Linked DNA regions of Macaca mulatta. The protein of the gene in region 2 binds, or shares a complex with, the protein of the main gene of each other region. Links are inferred from orthologs where the notes say so. Each region holds a gene or a part of one and is shown on either strand. Other genes may lie near its edges.

Region 1 (6,070 bases), on a different chromosome or scaffold from region 2:
ACAATTTAGCCTAGTCCAGAATTTTACAAATTCCCTTCAAATTTTTTTTTTTTTAAGGAGTTTCACTCTTGTTGCCCAGGCTGGAGGGCAATGGTGTGATCTTGGCCTACCGCAACCTACACCTCCCAGGTTCAAGCAATTCTCCTGCCTCAGCCTCCCGAGTAGCTGGGATTACAGGCAGGCACCAACACACTAGGCTAATTTTGTATTTTTAGTAGAGATGGGGTTTCTCCAAGTTGGTCAGGCTGGTCTCGAACTCCCGACCTCAGGTGATCCACCCGCCTCGGTCTCTCAAAGTGGCTGGGATTACAGGTGTGAGCCACTGCACCCGCCAGCCAATTCCTTTCAATATTATGTTCCCTAGCTTCCTCTTTCTCAACCTGGAAGAGGAAAATATTAATTCACTAAAAAGAGAAAAATACACATTATGACTCTAAACATAAAAAGGGTCTGAGTTACATAAGTCAACTGCTCTTTCAGAGGCTCTAAGCAATTTGAAAATATCTGCAGACTTTTAAATATTCAGTAACTAAAAAGCAAAAGCATAGTCGGAATTCAGAATCCTGCATAACTCTCTAAAATCTCAACTTTCTTTTTTTTTTTTTTTTGGAGACAGTATTTCGCTCTGTCACCCAGGCTGGAGTGCAATGGGGTGATCTCGGCTTACTGCAACCTCTGCCTCCCAGGTCCAAGCGATTCTCCTGCCTCAGCCTCCTGAGTAGCTGGGATTACAGGTGCATGCTACCATGCCTAGCTAATTTTTTTGTACTTTTTTGGTAGAAACGGGGTTTCACCATGTTGGCCAGGCTGGTCTTGAACTCCTGACCTCAAGTGATCCACCTGCCTTGGCCTCCCAAATTGCTGGGATTACAGGCATTAGCCACCATGCCCGGCCTAAAATCTCAACTTTCAAAGAGTCTGGGACTGAAAGTAAAACCATCTCTTATGCCCTTTACCCCATTCATTTTTATTTATTATTATTATTTCTTTTTTTTGAGATGGAATTTCACTCGTTGCCCAGGCTCGAGTGCAATGGTACGATCTTGGCTTACCACAACCTCCGCCTCCTGGGTTCAAGCGATTCTCCTGCCTCAGCCTCCCAAGTGGCTGGGATTATAGGCATGTGCCACCATGCCCGGCTAATTTTTTTGTATTTTTAGCAGAGACGGGGTTTCTCCATGTTGGTCAGGCTGTTCTCGAACTCCTGACCTCCGGTGATCCTACCACCTCGGCCTCCCAAAGTGCTGAGATTACAGGCATGAGCCACCGTGCCCAGCCCTATTTTTATTTTTTATATTAATTAAAAAAAAAAAATAGGCCGGGCGCGGTGGCTCAAGCCTGTAATCCCAGCACTTTGGGAGGCCGAGACGGGCGGATCACGAGGTCAGGAGATCGAGACCATCCTGGCTAACACGGTGAAACCCCGTCTCTATTAAGAAATACAAAACAAAAAACTAGCCGGGCGAGGTGGCGGGCGCCTGTAGTCCCAGCTACTCGGGAGGCTGAGGCCGGATAATGGCGTGAACCCGGGAAGCGGAGCTTGCAGTGAGCTGAGATCCGGCCACTGCACTCCAGCCTGGGTGACAGAGCGAGACTCCGTCTCAAAAAAAAAAAAAAAAAAAAAAAAAAAAAATAGAGATGGGGTCTCACTATGTTGCACAGGCTGGTCTCAAACCACCCACCAGGCCTCCCAATTTACTGGGATTGCAGGCATGAGCCTCCGCACCAGGCCACCCTTTACCTAATTACCCGTTAAGGGAAAATAAATATTTTTTAAATTAAAATTAAGAACACTCAGTGTATATACCTTGTTGAGTTCTTCTATCCTTCTTATTAGGTATGGGTTGCTGGAGGAATTCTCAAAGTAGACATAATCTGTAATTAAAGGAAGTACAGAACTTAATATTTTCAACAGAAAGTTCAGATTTGTCAATCCAAGACTTTTTATGTTAGGCAATTCACGTTTGAAATTAAGCTCATAATTCATTCACTGGTAAAAGCAAACATAATAATGCAGCCTTAATATATTCTCTCATGTGCCTACTATTCACGGACCTTTATTTTCTTGGCATTTTCATTTCAATTAATGTTTCATCAGTTTCTCCTAGACTTCTGTCCCAATATGTCATTTCTTTAATAATAAACAAAAAAGACACCTCTTATCACTGGGTAGTCGGGGCACACTAAACATGTGTCCTCTGTACTATAACTACTTCCACATCTTTTTCCTCCAATACAATTTGCCCTGGAGGCTGCTTCTCACATAAAACTATTGACCTAAGACACATTCAGAGCATGGAGAAAGGCTTCACAGTCCAACCTACATTTCAATCGCTACTTAAAAAAAAAAAAAAAAAAAAAAAAAATCAGATGAGCAGAACAGGTAAGAGGAAGAACACTAACAAACTTTTCCACAGCTCTACCTGGGAAGATGAGGGAAAAAGCGGGTCAGGGGGATCAATTATAAGAGGCAAAGTGCCCTGGGGGTGATATCACCATCTTTTTTACCCTTTTACCATATTTAATCCAGATCCATTTAATGTCTTGTGATTAAGAAATTGCTGCAGGCTTTCAACTAAAAAGATAACATTTTTCAAGTGTGGCTTTTCCTCTCATCTGATAGGCTCGCTGGAAACTTCCCACTGTGTGTTTATCTCAAAGGCAGCTGCATTGTTATTGTCTATCTTAGTGGCTCTTTCGCCGCTGTCTTCTGCAAAGTGGCCTCATTTAGCCAGGCCATTCCCACCACCATCCATCAGAAGCTCAGCTAATGAGCGGAGAAGGAAGAGCCAGTCTCTCATACAAACACGCCACTTATCTGAATTATTATTTTACCAGGAAAGAGGGAGGAGGGCGTCGTGAGTAGGGAGAAAGTTTGTTTGACCTTATTTCTCTCTTCCGCAGACTGGGAAGGAGGCAGGCAGCAGAGCAAACGTCCAGGCAGAGCTCAACTCCCCACCTCCGGCTGAGGTTCCCAGGTCCCACGAAGCCCCATTCGTGGGGGGCTGGACCAGAAACGAAAGGAGGGGGGCCGAGGAAGGCGAGGTGCAGGGCCCCGGCAAGGTGCAGGCCCGCAAACAGGCCTGTCCAGCTGGGCCCCTGGCTGGGCCCCCACCGCCCCCACCCCCACCCCAGGCTCCCACTGAGTGGGGAAGAAGCAGGGGAGGGGATGTCCCCTCATCCTCTCCAGCGCCTAGAAGCCACGCGAGAAGGCCACCTTCTCAGGGGGCTCGACGGGCCCCACCACCATGAGGGTTTCGTGGAGGGAGGTGTCTGGTAATTCGTACCCCCAAGTAGAGGCCTGGCCCTAAACACCTGGCGGGGTGCGAGGGTGAAGGTGGCCCCGGCCCCTCGCGAGCCCCCGTGGGGGGAGGGGAGGGGTGGGGTGGGGGTGGGGAGTCCTGGCCCCTCTGCGGGCCCCGGCGCCCCCGCCCCCTGCGACCTCAGCCCCGGCGCCAGTGGCTCCCGGCAGTTGGCGTGCGCTCGCCCCGGCCCCCCGGTCCCGGAGCCCGCTCCCACACGGGCCGGGTCGGGCTGAGCCTGCCTACCTCCGACCCGGTACATGTTGGCCGCCATGTCCGCCCGCCCGCCCGCGGAGCCCGAGCCGAGCCCCGCCCGCCGCCGCCGCCACCTCCTCAGCCTCAGCCTCGACCGCCGCTGCCGCCGCCGCCTCCGCTGCTGCCTCGCCACGGGGGGGAAGGGAGGGAAGGGAGGGGACAGGGGGAGGGGGAAGTGAAGGGGAGGGGACGCCGAGGGGTGGGGGCTGGTGCCCGCCCCCAGCGCCAGGCTAGCGAAGCCTAGTGGGCCGGGCCGGGGGAGGCCCGGGGAGGCCCGAGCGCTGCGGGACCAGCGGGAATTGGGGGGGAGGGGGAGGGGGAGGGGGAGGGGGAGGGGAAGGAGAGTGGGAGGGAGGGTGGGGGGCCTCGCTGGAAGTGGAGGGCCCTGGAGCCAGGGTCCTGGCCGAGGCAGAGGCCTGCGCTCAAATGCGGACCAGGGGCAGTTAGAGAATTAGAGTGGGGGCTGGGGCTCAGCCTCTCCCCAGCACCTCTTGCCCCACCCAGTGTACCCCGTCACCTGTCCACCCCGAGACAGGTCCTCCTTTCCTACCTCTGTCCCTGGGGACCCCCCCTGGGGCTGACCTGGTAGGCGAGCGCCAATCTCAATGCAAACTCTTGGACGCAAATAAGTACAGGCAGCAGGGTGCCTTCCTCGTGGTGAGATCCAAGGGGCCGGCCTGGAGCCTGCAGGCTCTAGGGCCAGGAAGACCCTGGGTGCTTCCCGCCTCGCCAGAGACCCGGCTGGGGACAGAGGTTGAAAAACTCCCTTCCTAGGCTACCCTAACTGCATCATCGTTCACCCCAAAACTGGGCTGAGCAGAACCAACTCTCCAACACCCAGATGGAGGCCCTGGCTCTAGACAGGCCCTATATATGCAGGGCCTGTTCTGCTGGGACCTTTAGGAGTGGGGGGCTTCCTTTGTCCATGGGGGAACAGGGCCCTACAGTTCACAATCACCACCCCCAAAAAGAGGAGATTCTGTTCAATCAGCTTGATATGGATGGACACTTAGCTGGTTATGTGCCTAAAGCTTCTAAATGATTATTGTCCCAAGCCAATTCTCTAAACAACCTCTGTTTTCACGGCCTTCCTACTCTCACAGAAACAAAACAAAAAAAAACCAACAACGTTGAATCTTAGCTGGCTATCCCCCAAACGAACACAAATAACTTTCTTTAGAGAAGCCAGTCCATTCCAAAGTACTCCCAGACATTGGTGCATAATAAACACGAAGAGGATTTCTTGGTGTGGTGGCTTGTTTGGAATGTCTGGTGATACACAGCTGTGTGCTGTCGACTCTGGGTTTGACATCTGTGCGGGGCTAAGAGGTGCCCCCAGAAAAGAAGGTTGTGTTTCGGTTGTTTGGTGATAACATTTGTGATGGTCCCTTATCACAGAGTATTGAGGTGAAAAAAAAGTTATGCGTAGCTGAGGCAAAATATAAAAATAAAAAAGAAAGCACCATTGAATTACATTGACTCTATGACCTGTTTCCTCGTCTATAAAATGGGAACGCGAATTCCCCCTTCACAGGTGTGGTAAGGATCAGTTGTGATGATATCTGAAAGTGCTTTTTAAACCAGGGAACACAGAGCACCGTGCAAATAACAGGTGTCTCTTGCTTTCTTTTTAACCCCAGGAAACCACAGATTCCCAAGGGTTCTCTGCTGTGTGTCAAATTCTGAGCCATGTGTCAAATTCTGACCCAGAGAAGAAAGCAAAAGTGTTCTGTTCTGCACATTGCATAGCTGTCATTCAACATTTACCAGAGATCCCACCAAAAACATTCTGACAAAACTGACATCACTCCATTTCTGAGCTGACACATAAATAGGTTCAATAATTCACCTGGAATCACACAGTAAACTGGCAGCAATATTGGGATTATAAATCAGCCCTTTTCTCTGGCCTAGAATGTTCTGAACCACAGTCTTTCTCCAAGTGCAAAGACCATCTAGAAACCATAAAGTGCATAGAAGTGGATCACAAGCTTTAGGGTGTTTTCCCATTAATTTTTCATAAGCAATTTCTCCTCCTTCAAAATCTTGCCCTGTTTTTGTTATTTCATTGTGTGCCTGTCTCATTTCCCCAGCTTAGTGCTCTTGCCAGGTGTTTCTGATGACTGTGCTAACCACAATAAATGGTGAAAGATGCCAAGAAAACTCCCTACGTCCCCTTAGGAACAGCCTTATCCAGCAGCACCCCATGAAAGACCTCAAAGACTTGAAGGGGACTAGCAGGAGGTAATGATGGTGGCAGTACTTGGAACTGTTTTTTACTCTAGATTCTCTATGTTAGTCTCTTCCATCTCCAGCTCCTAGACCAATGTCCTCTACATTTCTGAGCTGACATAGTAGATGCTCAGTATCTGAAGAATAAATACCAACGAATCATGGACTCAGAGAATCAGAAGAGCTGAATATAGGACTTTGCCTATGAAACTTTTCTATGTCCTAATTCCAGAGAGGTTCACACATAAAGGAGCTCAGCAAATGTTTGTAGATTGAAAGAA
Region 2 (5,465 bases):
GGAGGGGACGAGGGCAGAAGCTCCAGGGAGGTGCAGCGGCTTGCCCGGGGCCACACAGCGAATGAGAGGGGGACGGGGCAGAGCCAGAAAGGGACACGGAGGCCAGCTGACAGAGGAGCAACCAGCCAGCCTCCCGCATCCTGTGCGCCTCTGTGGCAGGCATGAATCCCATTTGTCACGGGATCTGGATTTTCACAGGAGTTCTGGATTTCTAAGTTGGAAAGTTCTCTTTCCTGCCAATGGACTCAGTTTTCTAACTTAAAATACGGGAAGGACTTGTGCAGTGGCCATGCAGGGTGAGGAGCCGTCTCTGCAAAGTAGATAAGGACGCAATTCCTGCATGTGAGGCGGTCTCTTCCGGGGACACAAGGACCCAGTGGCCAAGCCCAGCAGCACACAGCTTGATTCTGGCCACTGGGAGGGTCCTCAGGGCCTCCCACCTGCCCAGGCTAAGGCAACCAGGCCAGAGGAGTGCTGCAGGGCCGGGCCGGGGCATGGCTACCCCACACAGCAGCGCGAGGAGGCACACAGACCCGGTGGGCAGCGGCTGCTGCGGGCCTGGGGGCCATAAAGAGAAAGACCAATCCCCAGTTACCACAGAAACTGATGTTTGTTTGTTTTCCAACACATAATTGATTGTTTTGCAGACTGGGGGAATAAATCCAGGGGAGCTTCACCTGTCCCACTTTGGAGCAGAGAGAAGAACTACCATGTATATTTTTAGCATGCAATTTAGTAAAGGTAGAAAACCATAGGCCAATTCATTGCCGGGAATTAGGTTCCCACAGAAACTGACCCTTGAAGGTCATTCTCAGGAAGGTCTGGAGAGGAAAAACGTGGGTGTCCCATAGTTGAAGGGGCAGCTTTTTCAAGTTCCGCGCCCCTCCTTCTGAAGACCGCCCACAGCCAGCCTCTGGCAAGCTCCGGTCACCTGTGCAGCAGTCTGTTCCCTACAAGGGCCTCAACGCCCAGCAGTTGGGAGCCAGGACTGAAATCTGAACATTTCAGGCTCTTAACCTCTGCTCTACCCAACAGCTGCCTGAAGCCAGAAGCACTGAGTGGCAGAGGCCACCGATCCTAAGCCCCTCAAAGGCAGAGGCCACAGGGTAGCCAGGTTGGGGAGCATAAGCTCCAAGCTGCCACCACACAGCAGGTACTCTGGGCCCCACCCCAAGGCCCATCTGTCAGCCACCACCAGTTCTCAAGCCCCTAAACTCAAGAATCGGCAGGAGTTCCCATCACCCACCAAATCAAAACCAAAGCCCACGGGCCTCCTGCCTCCGGCTCTTTGTCCCAGCCTCCTGCAACCTCTGATTGCTAAGGCATCCCAGGGAATTGCCAGACTGCTCCAGGAAGAGCTGCTGCTGGGGCACTGGGGGGTGCAACAGTGGCTAAGAAAGTAGGTCCTGCAGTCAGAAAGCATGGGGTTCAAATCCCAGCTCCACTCCGTGGCTGTGTGATTCTGGCAAGTGACTTAACCTTGCTGTGCCTATTCTCACATCAGTAAAACAGAGGTAAAAGAAAGACACCTCTCTCCCAGGGTAGGCGGTGCTCAGTACAGCCAGCTACTATTACAAACGTGGGGGAAATGCGGACATACCCCCACACCTCGGGCCTCCCGCATCCTCAGACCCCTCCTGCTGGTATCAAGCACTAACCCAGCACGAGGGTCCCGAACCCCCAAGGGTGTGAACACGTGTGCATGAGTGTGCAGGCATGCATGGGACGGCCCCTCCAGCAGATCAGGCAGATCTCCAGCACTGGGAGCCCTAGGCCCCTTCCTTATGCCCCTGCTGTGCCCACATGTGGTCCTGCACAGCAGCCCCAAGGCAAGGGCCCTGGTGCCCTGCCCTGCACCATTTTACAGAGCAAAGTAGCTGATGCGGCCCAGCCCCAGTGATGGGCAGGGAGGGTAGCCAGCTGCAGGCACACACCTATGGTTCAGGATTCGGTGAATCATCATCCACTCTGGCTTGATGCCATAGCGGTAGAAGCGCTCCTCCATCTTGGCATAGAGGGGGTCCTTGTTCTTCCTCTTCTCGCTCTTGCCATCCTCATCCCCAGAGCCGTAGTCAAAGGGGGGCGGCTCATCCATGTCATTCTTTCTTTGGTAGTTGCGATACATCACCGTGTGGTACAGCTCCAGCTGCTCACAGACGGGCACGAGCCACAGAAGGGGGATGAGCCATGGCCCTCTGCGTCTCCCTACCCAGCTCCCCTAGCCCCAGGCCAGCACCACCCCAACTCCCAACAGCACCCCTCAGTCAGAGGCGCTTCAGCCCCTTCCCGCCAGCCCGGGAGGGTCCAGGGCTCACCAGGTCCTGAGCCTTGGCACAGCCACCCTGCTGGGCACTCACCTGTAGCTCCTTCACCCAGGAGCAGTGCCAGTAGGACAGCCCTGCCCACTTGACAAAGAACTCTCTCTCAGGGATGCCCTCCAGGGGCTTGGGTGGAGGGAGGCTGGGCTCCACGTCAGGCCCAGGCAGCCCCACCATGAAGGGGGCAGGGGGCTCCGTCCACCTCCAGTGTAGAATCCTCTGGACTTTGCCCTTCAGTGGGGGACACTGTGGACAGAGAAGGGTCCCCAAGGTGGGGCTCAGCTGCAGGGCCCCACCCTGAGGCTCCCATGACAGCAGGCTGCCACGCAGGCTCCCTCCCATCAGTGCCACTGTCCCCAAGTCAGAACAGCACCACCGTGACGCCATGACATCCACCCCGTCCTCAGGAGCCGCATGGGTCATGCACACAGGAGACGGGCAATGGGGGTCTGGGAGACCACGTGGCCCTTTCACTCAGTGGTAAACTCATCGGCACCCAGAATATCTGAGCCAGGGTAGGTAAGACTGCCATATGCACACGACAGAGGGGGAAACTGAGGCCCACTCGGCAAGGGACAGCAGAGCAGGGAGCAGAATATGAAGTTCTGGACTTCCCCTACCTTAGGTCTTCCCATTGTACCCTGAAAAGAGGTCACATCATTGTGTGACCCCCAAGCACCCAGGGAGCATGAGCCCCATGCTGGAGCTCAGGGACATGGCAGCCTCCAATCCGCCATCCCTCACCTGGGGCAGGGCTGCACCCAAGCACTGTGCATCTAGGCTGGGACAATGAGGCCCCATTTCTGGCAGCCCACAGACACACTGCACGGGCCCTGACCGATGCTACGGTGACAATGAGCTGCTGGCTGGCAAAGGCGAGAAATGCAACCGCCACAAACCCCACCACCTGGGCCCTGAGATGGGTGGGAGCAGCCTTGGCCCTCCAAGGAGGCGGTGCTGAGCCTGGCTGGACAGGGTCAGGGGTGACTGATTCAGGGAGACAGCTCGGTTGGGGACAGCAGGTCCCAGCTCTGCTACTACCTGTCCTCGGAAACTTGTCCAAGCCTACTGAGCCTGCTTTCCCATCTGTAAAATGGCCCACCCCTTCCTCCACCTACCAGGTTTGTGGTGCCACATCACACCTGAAGGCATTCTAGAGGTGCAAGGTATACCACATAGCCAGCCTTCTTTTGGCCTTGGTGACAGCAAAGGCCAAGAGGCAGAGGAGGAGGAGGACACGGGAGGTAGGAAAGGCTCCTCCGCTGGCTCTGGGGGGAGTGGAAGAGGGGACCCTCCCACCGCATCCCAACTTCTCAGGGAAGAAGCTGAGAGGAACTCCACTCCTGCCTCCCTCCCATCCCCAGGGCCTTCCATGAATCCTAGGAAAGCACAGGAGGCTGCACCCCTCAAAAGGGTCCTTCCCTGACCCCGACACAGACACAGACAAGTATGCGCGCGGATGCACGCACACACACACACACACACACAGCACAAGCCCACATGCACACGGGACGGCCCAGGGCTAAAGGCAGCACAGCCCAGGACCTGAGGGGTGGGGGATCTGGCACCGCGGGGCGCAGGGCAGACAGCTCAGAGCAAGGGGCCTTCTCATGTCTACTGTGATTGGGGGATGAGGGATGGGGGTGCCTCTCTTCCTGCAGAAACTGATGCTCTGGCCCTAGGACCCTCCTACCCTCTCCCTATCCCCAGCCTCGGAACAGGAGCCAGGTCTGGGGTGGCTCCAGGGACCTGAATCTGAGGGACAGTTTGGCCCTTGTGTGGCCTTAGGCAGGTCATTCTGCTTCCCTGAGCCTCAGTTTTCTCATCTGAAAAGGAAATAACAAAATACGTGGTGCCAGAATACTCAGTAATGTTAAAGGATACTATGATGGACGTGGAGCCCTTGCAGAGCACGTGGTCACTGAACAGTGGTCGTGGTATTGGCATGATCACCACAGACCTGCCTGCCTTTCCCTAACACTCATGCCTCCCGTCTCTAGGGGTGTCAGACACGGAGCGGGATTTGGGGAAGCTAGAGTGGGCGTGGCCTCGAGCGGCGCGGGCGGAGCTTTGCGGGATCAGCTACCGAGGCGGGTCCGGAGCCGGCAGGGGCGGGGCCTTTTGAGGAGGGCAGGCCTTCCCCTGGGGGCGGGGCCTGTTCCTGGGGTGGGGCGGGGCGTCCGGCGCGGGGCGGGCGGAACACTCACAGTACAGCGCGGGCAGAGCCATTCACCGTTTGGGATCTCGGGCAGTGGCGGGTTGAGGCAATGCAGGTGGTAGGAGGAGGGGCAGGCATCGCAGCAGAGCAGCTCGCCCCCGTCCTTGCACACGCGGCAGAACTCCATGTGATCATCCTCCTCCTCCTCGCAGCCGCCCTCCTCCTCTTCGTCGTCGTCGTCCTTTGGCTCCCACTGGATCCCCTCCTTCTCCTGGGGGAGGAGGCCAGGTGGAGGCACCCTGGGCGGGGTCCCCGCTCCACCAGGGCCTGACTCCCTCCCTCCCCCACAGCATTTCCCCGCATTCTGCCCCCAAATGAGGGCACAGGGGTGGGGGAGCCAGGCGTGGCCCCGCTCCCAGCCCGGGGCTCTGCCAAGGCTTACACAATGGGGGCAGCTCCACTTGCCCTCGGGAGCCTTCTCCAGCTCTGGGTCCAGGCACACGAGATGGTAGGCCCTCGGGCAGGTGTCGCACAGGATGATCTCCCCACCTTGCTGGCACACCTCACAGTAATCCTGGTGGTCTGTCTCATAGCCGTCACCATCATCAACTAAGGTAGGGGAGAGGCAGTCATGGAAGGCCTCATCCGCACTCCCAGAACACAACCAACTGCACCGCCCCAGGCCAGACAGCCACAGAGTAGATGCATAATAGATGGTGGGTGGATAGGTGGGTGGATGAGTGGACTGACGGTTGAGGTTGTAAAAGGGTAAGGAGATAGAAGATGGATAAAAGGAAAGAAGGAAGGAAGGAAGGGTAAGAGAGTGGGTGGATGGGTAGAAAGATGAATGGATAGATGGATGAATGGACAAATGGATGGATGGATGAATGGATGGACAAATGGATGGATGGACGATGGATGAACAAGATGGATGGATGGATGGATGGATGGATGGATGGATGGACTGATAGATGAACAAATGGATGGAT
Region 3 (5,900 bases), on a different chromosome or scaffold from region 2:
GGGATGGTCCTCACCCTTCTATCCTCACACACTCAGGAAGACCACCCAGTCGCCTCCAGGAAGCAAGTGTATCATCTCCAATGAACAAAACAGGGGAACCAGCTCATCTTGGCACAAAAGAGTCCAAACAGCATTTCCCAGGATGCAGATGAGTAGGAGGGCACATCGCAGGTGCCGAGCCTCCAAGCCAGTGGGGAGACAGAGGCCGCACCTGGGCCACCAGGACCACAGCCATCGGCCATGGCCCCGCCAGAGCCTGGAATGCATTCCCTTCTCTCATCCTCCCACCCACAGGGCCCACCCCCCAGAAACCCTTTCCTCCCACCACCACTGGGAGCCCCACAGCAAGCACCCGGATCAGCGAGGCTGGGCTCCCGGCAAGCCCGCAAGCCCAGACCACCTCCCCTTGGCTGCCTCCTCCCAGAGCTGCACCAGCTCCCTGGGCAAGGTCCTCGCCTCCTCCCTCCTCCACCGCCGCCTCTGTCCCCTGGCCTTGCGCTCTGTCCTCCTGTCCTCATCTTGGTCCAGCTGCTCTGCCTCCCCACGGCACTGCCTCCAGGCCTCACGGGCCTCCTGCCTGTCTCGGCGCCGCCGTCGCATGGCCAGAATGTGGCACTGCCACTCCCGGCTGCGCCTCTGCCTGGCCTCCCGCAGCCACCGCTTCTTCAGCTGGTCCCGCTCACGGGCCCGCACCTGCTTCTCCTTCTGGGGCAGGACGGCTTGGCGGGGCATGGCTGGGGAGCCGCCCACTCGGCAAGGAACAGGCTCCGTGGCGACCTCAGAACACTGGCACTGGGGCCCAGCCAGGGAGAGCATCTTCCCGCTGGGACCTTCGACAGGGCAGCTCATCCCTTGGAGATGTGGGGTGCAGCTGACATGGTGGCTACCCCATTCCTGCTGTTCCCCAGCCTGGGCTGGGGGTACTAGGATCACCCTTGGGCTGATGAGGAGCCCAGGTCTTGGGCAGTTACCAAGTGGGGGTCACAGTCTGGAAAGTGGTGGAACCAGGCAGCGGCCTCGCCTGGGCCACACTCTCAAACACTGGCCCTCAACAAGAGGCACCTTGGCTCTCGAGACAAGGCCACCTCCTCTCTGCTGGGCCCACGCCCGTGGAGAGCAAGTGGGAACCGGCCGTTTTCTGTCCCAGCTTGGAGAGCCAGGGTCAAGGCCAGGCCTCACTTGCCCAGGAAAGAGAAGTGAGGAGACCCACCAGAGGAGCGCGTGGGGTGGGGGCCGCAGCGCAGCTCGGGCTGCTGCCCCTTCCTGGTGCTCTCCTGTCCGCTCCACCTCACACGTCCCTGCGAAACACAGTCCCCAGTGCCCTCCATTCTGATGTGTTCTGAGCCGGAGCCCAGTCAGGGCCTTGGGCTGAGAAAGCTCTGTCCCATACTTTCTGCTCCTTCGTCTCTTCCACCAGCTTCTCTCCTCTGATGGTGGGGAGCATGTCTCCCCCCAGCCCTCCCACCATGCCATCACCCCCATTGCCATACCTGGGTGTAGCCTAGGGATGGTGGCCCGTAGTCACTGAGCAGCTGGCGGTACTGTGAAGACGCCATGCTGGTGGAAGGAGAGTGGACACTCCCAGCTGTGGGGTGGGGAGAGAGAGGCCAGGAGTCAGCTCAGCCAGTTGTACCAAGGCAAGGACTCCAGGTCCTGCAATGGCCCTTGCCCAGGACCCACACCACCAACTGTAGCAGGATAGAGAACCCTGCTCTCCACCTCTAGTCTGACCAGTGTAGAAGACGGATAATGAAATGTAGCTACAAGGCACTCGGCCATCCCCAGCTCTGTAGCAGCTGCTGGTCCTCACAGAGCTCCGTCCTGTCCAACCAGAACCTTCCAAGCAGCAGGGCTGCTCCCAAAGATAAAATTACTGCCACTCCTGGCCTCATCCCTGCCCATCCCCTCTCCCTGTGTCCTGGCCCCAGAGGATGAAAACCTAGAGGCCACATCATACCACAAGAGCCCACTGCCATGGAGGCTGGTCCAAACCAGCGGAGCTTCCAAGCCTTTTTGTCCTATGCACCGAAATCTCTGCTGTGCTCAATGACGGGGAAGATGGGAAGGCCTTAGAGTATTTGAGACCCAACCCTGGCTGGAGACAGGCATGCTGGACATCAAATTAGGAATCTAGAGAACACCACGGCCTCTGTGTGCCCCAGATAAAGCCCCTCAACCTCTCTGTGCCTGTCTCCCCCTCCCCAAAGGGGGACCAGACTCTTGGCAGTCTATGTCCCAACGGCTCTGCATTCCAAGAGAGGAGGGTTGAGGCCCCACATATGGGATGCAACATTGGGGCCTGTCCAGGGCTGCAGTCAGTGACCAAGCAGGGCCCAGCCCAGAACGCAGCCTCCTGGATCTGGGAGGGGAGTCTGAGGCTGGGAGCACGCGGCCCCGCAATGGCGTCCCAGTGGCCATTAGCGGGTAAAGGATATCCTGCAGAATGACAAACAGCGGTAACCATGGAGAATTTACCTAGTCCTCCTCGGCAGCTGCCCGCCTGCCGCCCCCAGAGCCACACGGTCTCTCTCTCACACACACAGCGGGCGCTGCAGACTTGGCCTCGGGGATGGACAGCTGGTGCCAGGCTGGCCAAACCCACCAGCTGCTCACTTGGTGTGGGTGAGGGGAGGGGCAGAGGAGGAAGGAAGTTCAGGGCCTCAGGCTGGGGGAGCCGGGAGGAGCCCTGGAGAACCCTGGCTCCAGGCCCCTCTATTTAGAGACATGGACCTGAGGGAGTTGCCCCAGGGCACACAGCATAGCACCTGCCCCTCCATGCAGGGAGCCAGCTACCTCAGCACCTGCCCCTCTGTCCAGGAGCATCCGGGAGCGGGGACAGTCCCGAGTTGTCTCCCTGAGTCTCAGGCCAGCCCTGGATGCCACCACTGCAGCCCAGGGTTATGCTCCAGCTTGGGCTGGACCTGGAAACGTGGACTTGGATCCTGAACTGGGCAAAGCACCATGCCACTCCGAGCCTCAGTTTCCATGCCTCCCACATGGGGATGACGAGACACGTGTGCTACAGGGATGGGCGGCTTGGGATGGGGAAGCACTACGCCCGCGATATCCGGCACGTCCACGGCCACTGCAGGAATTGGGCAGGGCGATGTCCCCCAGCGCCCCCTCACCACATCAGCCAAACCCCAGTTTCCTGAGCTTCTGATGTGGCAGCAAGCGTGGCATGGGGAACACAGGCTCTGCTGGCAGAGACCTGGGTTTCGATCCTGGTAGCTACACCTCTCTGGCCTCGAGGGCCAGTCTCTGGGAGGGACCATAGAGCACAGCACCCTGGGTGTTTGCAAGATCCCAGCAGCCTGGCAGGAGGGGCGCTAGCCACTTCCCACGCACCCTCGAATCAACTCGGTGTGCCCCCGTCCTCTTCCCCAACTGCTTTGCCCACTGCTCCTCACCTCTCCTTTTCTGTCCTCCCCACTGGACTTGGCGCCAGCCCCAGCTGTGCCACTCCTGGCTGTGTGACCTCAGACAGGCCCCCCGCCCTCCAGTCCTCAGTTTCTCCATTTGTTAGAGGCAGTGCTTCCCAAGAGAAGGTCTACAGGCTCCAGACCCTACTATTTGATGATACTGGGGTTAGGTTTTGCGGGGCTGAGAGGAAGGAGGAATGAGAAATTGTCCCATTTTGGCTGGGGGGACAAGGAGCAATAGCTCGGTGACTCCAATGCTCTGTCCAGGCCAGTCCCTTGTTCAGGGTTGAGTGGGGGGTGTCTAGTCCTGGAGAGAGATGGCGGAAATGCCCCGAGTTCCACTCATGGTCACTCCTTCCTGCAGACACAGGGACCGGGACACAGGGACCACGTCAGCGCAGGCCGTCTCGGCGCATCTCAGACAATGAGCGCAGTGTGCAGGAGCGAGGGGTTGGCAGAGGCCAGGAAGCTCCTGGGGCCAGGCGCGGCTCCCCGCCCCCACGCCAGACAAAGAGCGCCGGGGCCTGGGGAGCTGGCGGCCTTCCCGCCACTTGGGGCGCCTGGGGGGCTCTGGGGCGGGGGAGGCGGGGGCTTTGTCTAACTCCGCCACTGCCACCACCGGCCAGGCCGCGGCTTGGCAACCCGTGAGCAGGAGGCAGGGCTGCAGGGCGTGAGGGATGATGACAAGGAAGCCGGAGGAGCAGCGGCAGCAGCGGAGAGTCCATCTTGGATGCAAATGGCAGGAGGGGAGCTGGGGTTCTGCAAAAGGGTCCATGGGGGAGAGGGAGGGGCACCAAAAAGCCCAGATCTGGGGATCTCGGCACTCCTGAAATTCTCCACAGAAGAAAGAGAAGAAAAGCTGAATACAGGTGCAGCCAGCTCAGAACAGGACTTCAGGGGTCCCCGTGAGTGCCGCTATCCCTGTGACCCCAAACCCTGAAGGTCCCAGTTTAAGGCCCCGGCCCCAATGACACCAGGTCAAGCCTGAGCTGTCAGCCTTGCCCAGGCTGGCAACACCAGCCCCTGCCCTCCCCACAGGCCAGAGGAAGAACGCTGCTGGCAGTCCTACCTGGCAACAAAGCCCGTCTTTGTAAGGTCTGCGGACCCCAGAGGAGGTGAGAATGTTTGAGAAGAAAACAGTGGCTGTTTGCTCTTTGGGACTCCGAGCCCACAAGTGAGCAATTCAACTCTCCCTCAGCACCCTGACGATTAACCCTTTCCTGCCCCTACACCTCAGTGTCCAAGGTTTTTTTAAATATCGTTTTTATGGGTCCTACTTCGGATGTGGGAGGTTTATGAAGTCAACGTTTGCAAACAAGGCCCAAAACTCGAGCAGGAGAGCCAGCGTGGCACCGGTGACCAACGGGGCCACTCCTTTCCCTCCGAGTCCTTACCCCCCACGCCCCGCAACACAACCGCCTTTTGGGAAGTCTGTTTCCGACCAAGTGTCAGAGAAGAGGGGCCCCAGTGAGGTCACAAAGCCCGGCACCTACCAATCCCTCAATGTTGCGCCCACTCCCCATGGCTCCCTCGGTCCCCTGGGCTCAGCCCGAAGCTGCCTGACAACTTCTGGAGGAGTTTCCTGGGAGCGCCCGGCTGCCGCCGCAGCCCCAGGAAGGTCGAGGGGAGCCCCTCCCGGCTTCTGCATCGAGGGCCTTCCCGGATCAGCCCTGGGGGCTCCCAGATGGGGCGTCCGCGTGACCCCCTGCCCCCACGCCCGCGCGCGGGCCCTAGCAGCCCCAGGACTGCGCCAACTTCGTTCACTCCGCGCACACCTTACGGGGATCCCCGCGTGACCGCATGGGGCAGTCCCTGCTCCCACGCGCCCGGCCGAGGCCCCCCGGCCTCCGAGTCCGCTGCCCACCGGCGACCCCATCCCGGTCCCAGTCCCGGCGGCCCCGCGACCTCAGGGCCCGCGGCAGCCCCGCAGCCCTCCGCCCGCGCCGGCCCGCGCGGGGCCTGGCCCTGCCCGCAGCGTCTCCCGCCCGGGCCGCTCCACGACCCCGCTCCCCAGGGCGGCGGGGCCCCGCGCCCCGCTCCCGGCGCGGCCCGGGCCGCTCCCGACTCCCGCCGGCAGGGGCCCTCGCCGAGCCGCCCAGAAGCGGGAGGAAAAAGGAGACGAGAACAAGCCTCCCCCGCCCTCGCCCTCGCCCGCCGCGCTCCCTGCGATCCGCAGCCGCCGGCGCGGGGGTCACCCCAGGCCGCCCGCCCCGCACCCCCAGCCAAGGCCCTCGGCGTGCGGGGCGCACCAGCGAACTTTGGCGGCGCGGGCTCGGAAATCATGGCGGCGGCAGCGCTGCCCCGGGCCGGGACCCTGAGCCCCCCGCCCCCGGCCTCCGCTGGCGCCCACGGCATCCCCCGGCCGGGGCTGGGCGCGCGGACCCCCAACTTGGCGGCGCTCGGGGCGCGTCGCACGCGGCTCACTCACCGGCGTTGAGGGCGGCGGCGGGCATGTGCGCGGCCAAGTTCGGTTTGTAA
Region 4 (6,164 bases), on a different chromosome or scaffold from region 2:
CTGGAGTTGGGGAGAGACAAGGTAAGCAGGGCAGCAATCCACATAGGCGGCAGGGAGGGAGGTGTATCTGAGTTTCCATGACCGGCAGTCTGGCAACCCGGTACCTTTTCATTGTCCTCCTTTCCCCCTCCCTTTTGTGAGCAATACCCATTCCCCTCCCTCTTCTCTCAACATCTCTTTCTCACCTCCTTTTCCAGGTACTGGCTCAAGATATCTGTCTCATTCAAGAGGGTCACACTGCATTTCCCCCTATAGAAGACAGATCGGAAAACCCCGGTGAGCCCCACTCTCCCTCCCCACAGCATCTCTGAAGACCACCTCCTTCTCTCCATCTTCTACGTAAGTGCATGCAGGCTATTCTGGCCCCAGTTGTCCTGTACCTTATGTGGGTGGCTGGTAATGATTCAAATTGCCGAGAAAGAAAAAGTTCCCGGTGCTTCAGTTGATGGCGCTGCTGCTCAGACACCCCTGGCTGCTTTGATTCCTCTTCAAACTCCCCTGGGAGATTAAGGAGGAAGAAACCAAGTCAGAAATGGATCCAGCAAGACACCACCCTGGAAACTCTAACTCAGGGAAAATATTTGCTATCTTGGCTGTTTTTTTGTCACATTTCCCAGGTGTCTGCCTTCTATGCCTTTATCCTACCAGCTTTCCTTCTTAGCTGTATACCCCATCATGGATGCTCCCAACTCTATCAGTAATGCTCTTAGGGAAGAACTGCTGAGAGTACGAAGAATGCTGTAGACATACATCGCTACCCAGCTGCCAATGCTCAGACACCAAAGTCCACAACAGGCCAGCAAGAACATTACATTTGTCTCTTGCTAAACCAGCCTGAGGTCCAGCAACCCAGTAAGATGAAAAAAAAAATCACACAAGACTGTGTTTACCAGTTCTTTTCAATTTCAGGAGACTCTTTGCACTAAAACATCACATGCAGCCCTAACTATCCCTCATTCTCTACTTGGCTAATAATAGTTCCTAGGGTTTTCAAGGACAACACCTCTCAAGCTAGTGCCAACATCTTCCTCCTGAAAGAGCTGCAGCTTGCCCTGAAACCTAGTGGAAGGGGTTAATCTGGCTAGGCGCCAACCAAAGTGGGAGGGGGCAGAAAAGCCTCAGGCCCAGGCTCATTGGTGCATTGTTCCCAACCTCAGGGAGAAGGGGGGGTTGTTCAGTAGGCTCCACCCCTCGCTTGTGTGCTCCGGAAACCCTGTGCTAAGGCAAGGGGGACCACACCCCCAACACCCCTTCTGATTGGACAAGGCCAAGGTCAGCCCCTGCCAGATGGGGCTGGAAACCCTAAAGGGCCAGGGAACTTGGTTAGCCAGGCTCCTCTTTAACCCCTTCTCACCCAGAGCAGTCTGAAAAAGGAAAATGATTTAGAAAGGTGGAACAAAAGGAAGGAAAAAGAAAACCAAAGCAGGAAAGGAAAAAGCAGCTAAGGAAAATATTTTTTTTTAAAAAAAGAAAATGAGACCTTAAAGAGGATGAAAATAGAGCAAAATGAAAAGGGAAAGATGTAAAATGGGGGGTGGCAGGTGGGGAAATGGGCAAGGTGAGAAATTAAAAAGTGCAAGAAAACTTCCAGCCATCTTCTAACTTCCAGGTATTCTCACCACCTTGTGATTACAAAATAAGGCTGCTTCTGTTATGCGGGCTTCTCAGTACAATCTCTTCCTCTTCACCTTGACCTTCAGTCACCACCTACTGTCCCAGTGTACCCCAAACTGCCCCCCTTTAGAAAAGCATTCTGTTTCTCTAAACCCCGTCTTCATCCCCTAAATCAACCTTATCGTCTCTCTCCTACTCTCATACACAAACCATATCACAATCTCTCCACCCTGCTTCCAACCCCAACGTGTAAAAACAGGTCTCCCTCCTCAGGCCAGGCATTTCCCACCCTCAAACTCACACCTCTGCCTTGGGCATGCTACCAGGGGAAATACCTGCAGGGACATGCGCAGGCCTCAGATCATGGGGAGGGGGAAAAGAAAGGGATGAAGATACTCACTGGCATTACTATCAGCCAAGCTGTTGAGGCTACTAGAAATGTCCCTGCGCCGGAAAAGACAGACGACCTTTGCCTCCACATTTCCATTTGCAGTCTAAGGGGAGGAAAAAAACAAAAACAGAAACAAAACAACGTAGCAGTGAAAATTGATCATCTGGGAACAGAAATACACAAAGAGACAAATAACAGTAAGTTTCAGAGGGACCTAAATTAAAAAGCCCAAGAAAATATGAGTAAACACTTACATTCAAGGACAGACTTCCAAATCCCTTTCCTTTGCCCCCAAGAGACAGAATAGTAAAGTTCCTGCTAAGCTCTCAATAGCCTTTCCTGAATACATCCAATGAATGAATGAATGAATATGAATGGGTACTTAGTATAGGGTCCTCTCTTCCACCCGAAGTTAGAAACCTCAGAAGAGACCACTGGGGGAGGGAGGGAGAGAGATTCTGCTCCACTCACCTTGTTGAGTTCCTCAATCCGTCTAACCAGGTAAGGATTGCTGGAGGAGTTCTCAAAATAGACGTAATCTGTAAGGGAAGGGAGGGGGGAGAACCACGAAGATCAGAGGAGATGGGAGAGACGCAGAGCACCAGAGTAGGAGAGAAAGTTGGCCTGAGTGGATCAAAAGAAGATAAGGATTCAGGCAGAGAGCGCGCTGAGATGTGAAAGTGTAAAGACTAAGAGAAAATAAGGATGTCCCCCACCCCCACCGCACCTAGTTCTAAAATCAGATCCATTACTCAAAAGTGAGCCTTAAGGAACAGGCAAGAAGCAGGGATTCCCCTGCAGTCCCCACAACTCAGCAACGAGTTGCACCTCAGTCGCGGCGAAGTAATTGTTCGCTCTAGCGCAGGGCCCCCACCTTTTCGAACTGAGGCGCACAATAACGCCTGGGAAGAGGAAACCTCCGGGCGGCTCCTCCGCGGTGGCAAAGCCGTCGCCCCAGCCCCTCGCGTTCCCTCCCCACCCTGTCAGCTCCTTCGGAACCGGTTTCCGAAGCCCACTCCGTGCCCCGAGGAGCCCCCGACGCAGCCCTGAAAGTGCCGTCGGGGCTGCCCGCAGCTTCTCTCCAGGAGTCTCGGCGCCCTGCCGCGTCGCGGTTTCCCGCACCCTAGCTCCTCGTCTCCCGGTTCCGGTTCCGGTCCGCGCTCCGGTCCATGCCGCCCCATACGCTGCGCCTCGCGCCACCCGGTGCCGAGCCCCTCCGGTCCCGACCACAACCTCTCCCGCCCCGGACCCTGTACCCCTGCGCCCGGTACTCACCTCCCACCCGGTACATGTTGGCCGCCATGGCCGTTCCCGCCGCCGCCTCCGGCCGCACAAAGGGGTCCGGGAGGCTCGCGGGGGCAGGGCTCGGCTAGAGGCAAAGCCCTGAACGGTGGGCTGGCGCTTCGAGGGAGTCTCACTGGGGCCCGCGCAGCCGTCACCTCCGCTGCCTCAGCCGTCGCGGTTCATCCCGGCCCGCGCTGTCGCCGCCGCAGCTATCGCCTCACTCCCGGGACGCTGAGGCTGGCCCCGGTCCGCTCGGCTTCTTCCGGAACGAGCTCGGCTCCTGCCAGGCTGCAGCTGCCCCCACCCCCGCCGAGTCCCACTAGTCGTTGAGCTCTGCCGGCCGCAGGGAAGGCTTGCCCGGCCCGCCTCAGGGTTCGCCTCCTTCCGTAACACCTTCGGCCGATCCGGAGAACAAGGCCCACTGCTCGGCTCAGGTCGGAGAGCGAGACCCCGCAGATCGGCTACTTCCGGAAGAAGTTCGGCTCCTGTCGGCCAATCGCTCGGCTATTTCCGTTGCAGCTCGGCACCCCCCCCACCCCTTTTTCCGAGGGCGGGAGAGGAGTGGGGCTTAACTCTGTCCTAGCTGGAGCCCTGCAACTCCTCCTCCCGCCCCGAAGACTCGCGCGCCTTAGCGCTTCGCCAGGTTATTTGCAAGCGGCTTTGCCTGTTATTTGCATAAATGGTCTACGCTCCCTTGCCCTTTCCGCACGCCTCTTTTCCTTCGTCCCCACCCCACAGGGCCCCGGAGGCACCCAGCAGCGCCCCACAAAAGCACCGGGAGGCGACTTTGGTTCTGGTTTATTGCCCCTCAGCAGGCAGCGGGAGTCAAGGCCTAGGTTGGGGCTGCCCGGCTCAACCAGCGGGTCTAAACAGTGTGTGCAGGGGCGCCGCTCGCGCCCTCCAGGGAAATGCACCGTCGGGAATGTTTCGAAGTCAGTCGAGGAAAGAGTCGGCCCCTGGTCGTGGGGGATTAGGGCGGGGCAGAGCGGGGCGGGGCCACGCCGCCAGGCCAGTAGGTCCCGCCGGCAGCGATCAAACGTCGAGGGAGGAGGCGGGGGACAGGGAGGGGGTTCGAGAGGGCGTGGCAGGCGCCGGCCCCGCGCCCCCAGCGCCCAGCACTCGCCACTGGAAGATGCTGGCGTCCTTGCCGCCCAGCGAGACAAGGTGCGAGTCGTCGTGCGTGAACCGGACGCTGGTCACGTGGCTGCCGTGGCCCCCGTACATGCGGCTCGGCGCCTGGGCGGGAGGGAAGACTTGCAGTGGCGGCGGAGCCCTCGGGCCCACCCGTCCCACCCCGGCGGCCCCCGCGGCCTCACCTTGGCACGAGCGCACGGGTACTGGAATAGATGCACTTTGCAGAAGTCGTCGGCCACCGCCACCACGCGCTCGTTGTGGGAGCGGCACAGGGAGTTGATGTCGGTCCCATCGGAGCCGTCCGGCCACACGCCTAGCACAGTGGCCGGCCTCAGCCCGACCTCCTACCCACCGCCACCCACGGCCCAGAGCTACACCGTTTCAGGCGCTCCGGCAGCCGCAGCCACCCACTGTCGCGTTCCAGGAAAGCCTTCCCGGTCCCGAGGGCCGGAGGGGCCTCCTGGGCTGGATCTTCAGGTTTCTGGACTCTCACCCAATGACACACGCCCAGCGTTCCGAGCCCAAACTGGGCTCCACCTTGTCCCCCACCCCTCCAGCAGGGTTCCACGCCCCTGCTCACCGTAGACGTGGAAACCCAGCACACAGGTGTAGGTAGCCCATTCCCGGTCTCGGCTCTCATAGCGATTCTTCAGCTGCTTGCAGCCTCCAGCCACGTCCCCTGGGGAGAGGGAGCCCGCCCAGCTCAGCTCTCACGCTGCCCTCAGTAGGGAAGATGCCAGGAAAAGCCAGATTGGAAAGACTGGCATGAAACCCAGCGATGGCATGTGATCTGGTCACTGTAGTAGTGACCTCCTCCCCCTGTGAAACCCACCCTGCGTGCGTCCTGTCCTGAGCACTGGCTGAAGTTCTAACAGCTTCCATGAGTTCCTCCTCCCTAGATAAGTCAAGTCCTTCACGCTTGCCCTGAGAAACTTCTTAGAGCATTTTTCAGCTCCCTCAAGTCAACAAGACATGGTGTGAAACTCGTTGTTTCCAAATCACAAAATTTCTATGTATAATTCCAACTCCACTTTAACCCTATCTCCACTCCCTTATCTGACAACACCTCTAAGACCCCCCTACATAAAACCCACTCCAATTACCCTCTCCCCATGTCCTGCTCCACTGCCACTCACAGTAAAGAATCTCATAGTCCCCAGAATTGGACATGATGAAATTCCCATCCTTGGACCAGTCAAGATGAGTGATGAAGCTGGAGTGACCCTGGGAGCAAAGGTCAAGAGTTTTAAAGTATCCCATCCATTTCCCATCCCCAGAGCCCCCTTGATGCATCAGACCCCTGAGTTTCCCAGCTGTTATCATGCCCCACCACACGCCCCAACTTCCTCACCATACAGCGGCCAAAGCGGCTGGATTTGGCACCATCACTGGAAACACTATAGATGTAGATCACGTTGTCATGGGAACCAATGGCCAGGTACAACCCATCTGCAAATACAGTCACTCAGAGAGGGAAGGGCCAGGGACACATGTGAGTCCAGGGTTGGGGTGGCTCCCACCTGGGCTGTACCGGACCACTGAGAGCTGCTCATTGCCATCAATGACATCAGACACGATCTCTCTGGTTTCTGTGTCCAAAACCAACCACCTGGAAGGGAGGGGAGTGGAGGCAGATAGGAAGACAAAAAGGCAAGATGTGAGGAGACCCCCAGGTAGGCCACCCTGGGTAGGCTTGGGGATGGCAAATCAGAGAAGCTCAGAAACACACACAGAAAAGCTC

The links. Proteins that work in one complex are often made in the same cells at the same time.
Region 1: CHD5 (region 2) and MTA3 share a complex: the UniProt entries of both Homo sapiens proteins name them as parts of the nucleosome remodeling and deacetylase (NuRD) repressor complex. The link is inferred for Macaca mulatta from reciprocal best matches to the Homo sapiens genes CHD5 and MTA3.
Region 3: CHD5 (region 2) and CDK2AP1 share a complex: the UniProt entries of both Homo sapiens proteins name them as parts of the nucleosome remodeling and deacetylase (NuRD) repressor complex. The link is inferred for Macaca mulatta from reciprocal best matches to the Homo sapiens genes CHD5 and CDK2AP1.
Region 4: CHD5 (region 2) and MTA2 share a complex: the UniProt entries of both Homo sapiens proteins name them as parts of the nucleosome remodeling and deacetylase (NuRD) repressor complex. The link is inferred for Macaca mulatta from reciprocal best matches to the Homo sapiens genes CHD5 and MTA2.

Annotation. Positions count from the first base shown.
Region 1 is NC_133418.1:82,261,442-82,267,511, forward strand, and holds the start of MTA3 (metastasis-associated protein MTA3), read right to left. Parts: upstream 3,587-6,070; 5' UTR 3,577-3,586; coding exon 3,549-3,576; intron 3,225-3,548; exon of another isoform or gene 2,885-3,224; intron 1,876-2,884; coding exon 1,808-1,875; intron 1-1,807. UniProt on the Homo sapiens protein: Acts as a component of the histone deacetylase NuRD complex which participates in the remodeling of chromatin.
Region 2 is NC_133406.1:234,648,051-234,653,515, reverse strand, and holds part of CHD5 (chromodomain-helicase-DNA-binding protein 5), read right to left. Parts: intron 5,086-5,465; coding exon 4,919-5,085; intron 4,748-4,918; coding exon 4,526-4,747; intron 2,565-4,525; coding exon 2,358-2,564; intron 2,147-2,357; coding exon 1,935-2,146; intron 1-1,934. UniProt on the Homo sapiens protein: ATP-dependent chromatin-remodeling factor that binds DNA through histones and regulates gene transcription. May specifically recognize and bind trimethylated 'Lys-27' (H3K27me3) and non-methylated 'Lys-4' of histone H3.
Region 3 is NC_133416.1:130,672,100-130,677,999, forward strand, and holds the start of CDK2AP1 (cyclin-dependent kinase 2-associated protein 1), read right to left. Parts: upstream 3,587-5,900; 5' UTR 3,520-3,586; coding exon 3,411-3,519; intron 2,630-3,410; exon of another isoform or gene 2,476-2,629; intron 1,586-2,475; coding exon 1,491-1,585; intron 1-1,490. UniProt on the Homo sapiens protein: Inhibitor of cyclin-dependent kinase CDK2. Also acts as a component of the histone deacetylase NuRD complex which participates in the remodeling of chromatin.
Region 4 is NC_133419.1:11,463,113-11,469,276, reverse strand, and holds the start of MTA2 (metastasis-associated protein MTA2), read right to left. Parts: upstream 3,587-6,164; 5' UTR 3,309-3,586; coding exon 3,281-3,308; intron 3,163-3,280; exon of another isoform or gene 2,880-3,162; intron 2,545-2,879; coding exon 2,477-2,544; intron 2,109-2,476; coding exon 2,015-2,108; intron 499-2,014; coding exon 381-498; intron 250-380; coding exon 186-249; intron 1-185. Other genes in the region: EML3 (echinoderm microtubule-associated protein-like 3), read right to left, coding at 4,322-4,525, 4,606-4,736, 5,004-5,102, 5,560-5,647, 5,775-5,872, 5,944-6,032. UniProt on the Homo sapiens protein: May function as a transcriptional coregulator. Acts as a component of the histone deacetylase NuRD complex which participates in the remodeling of chromatin.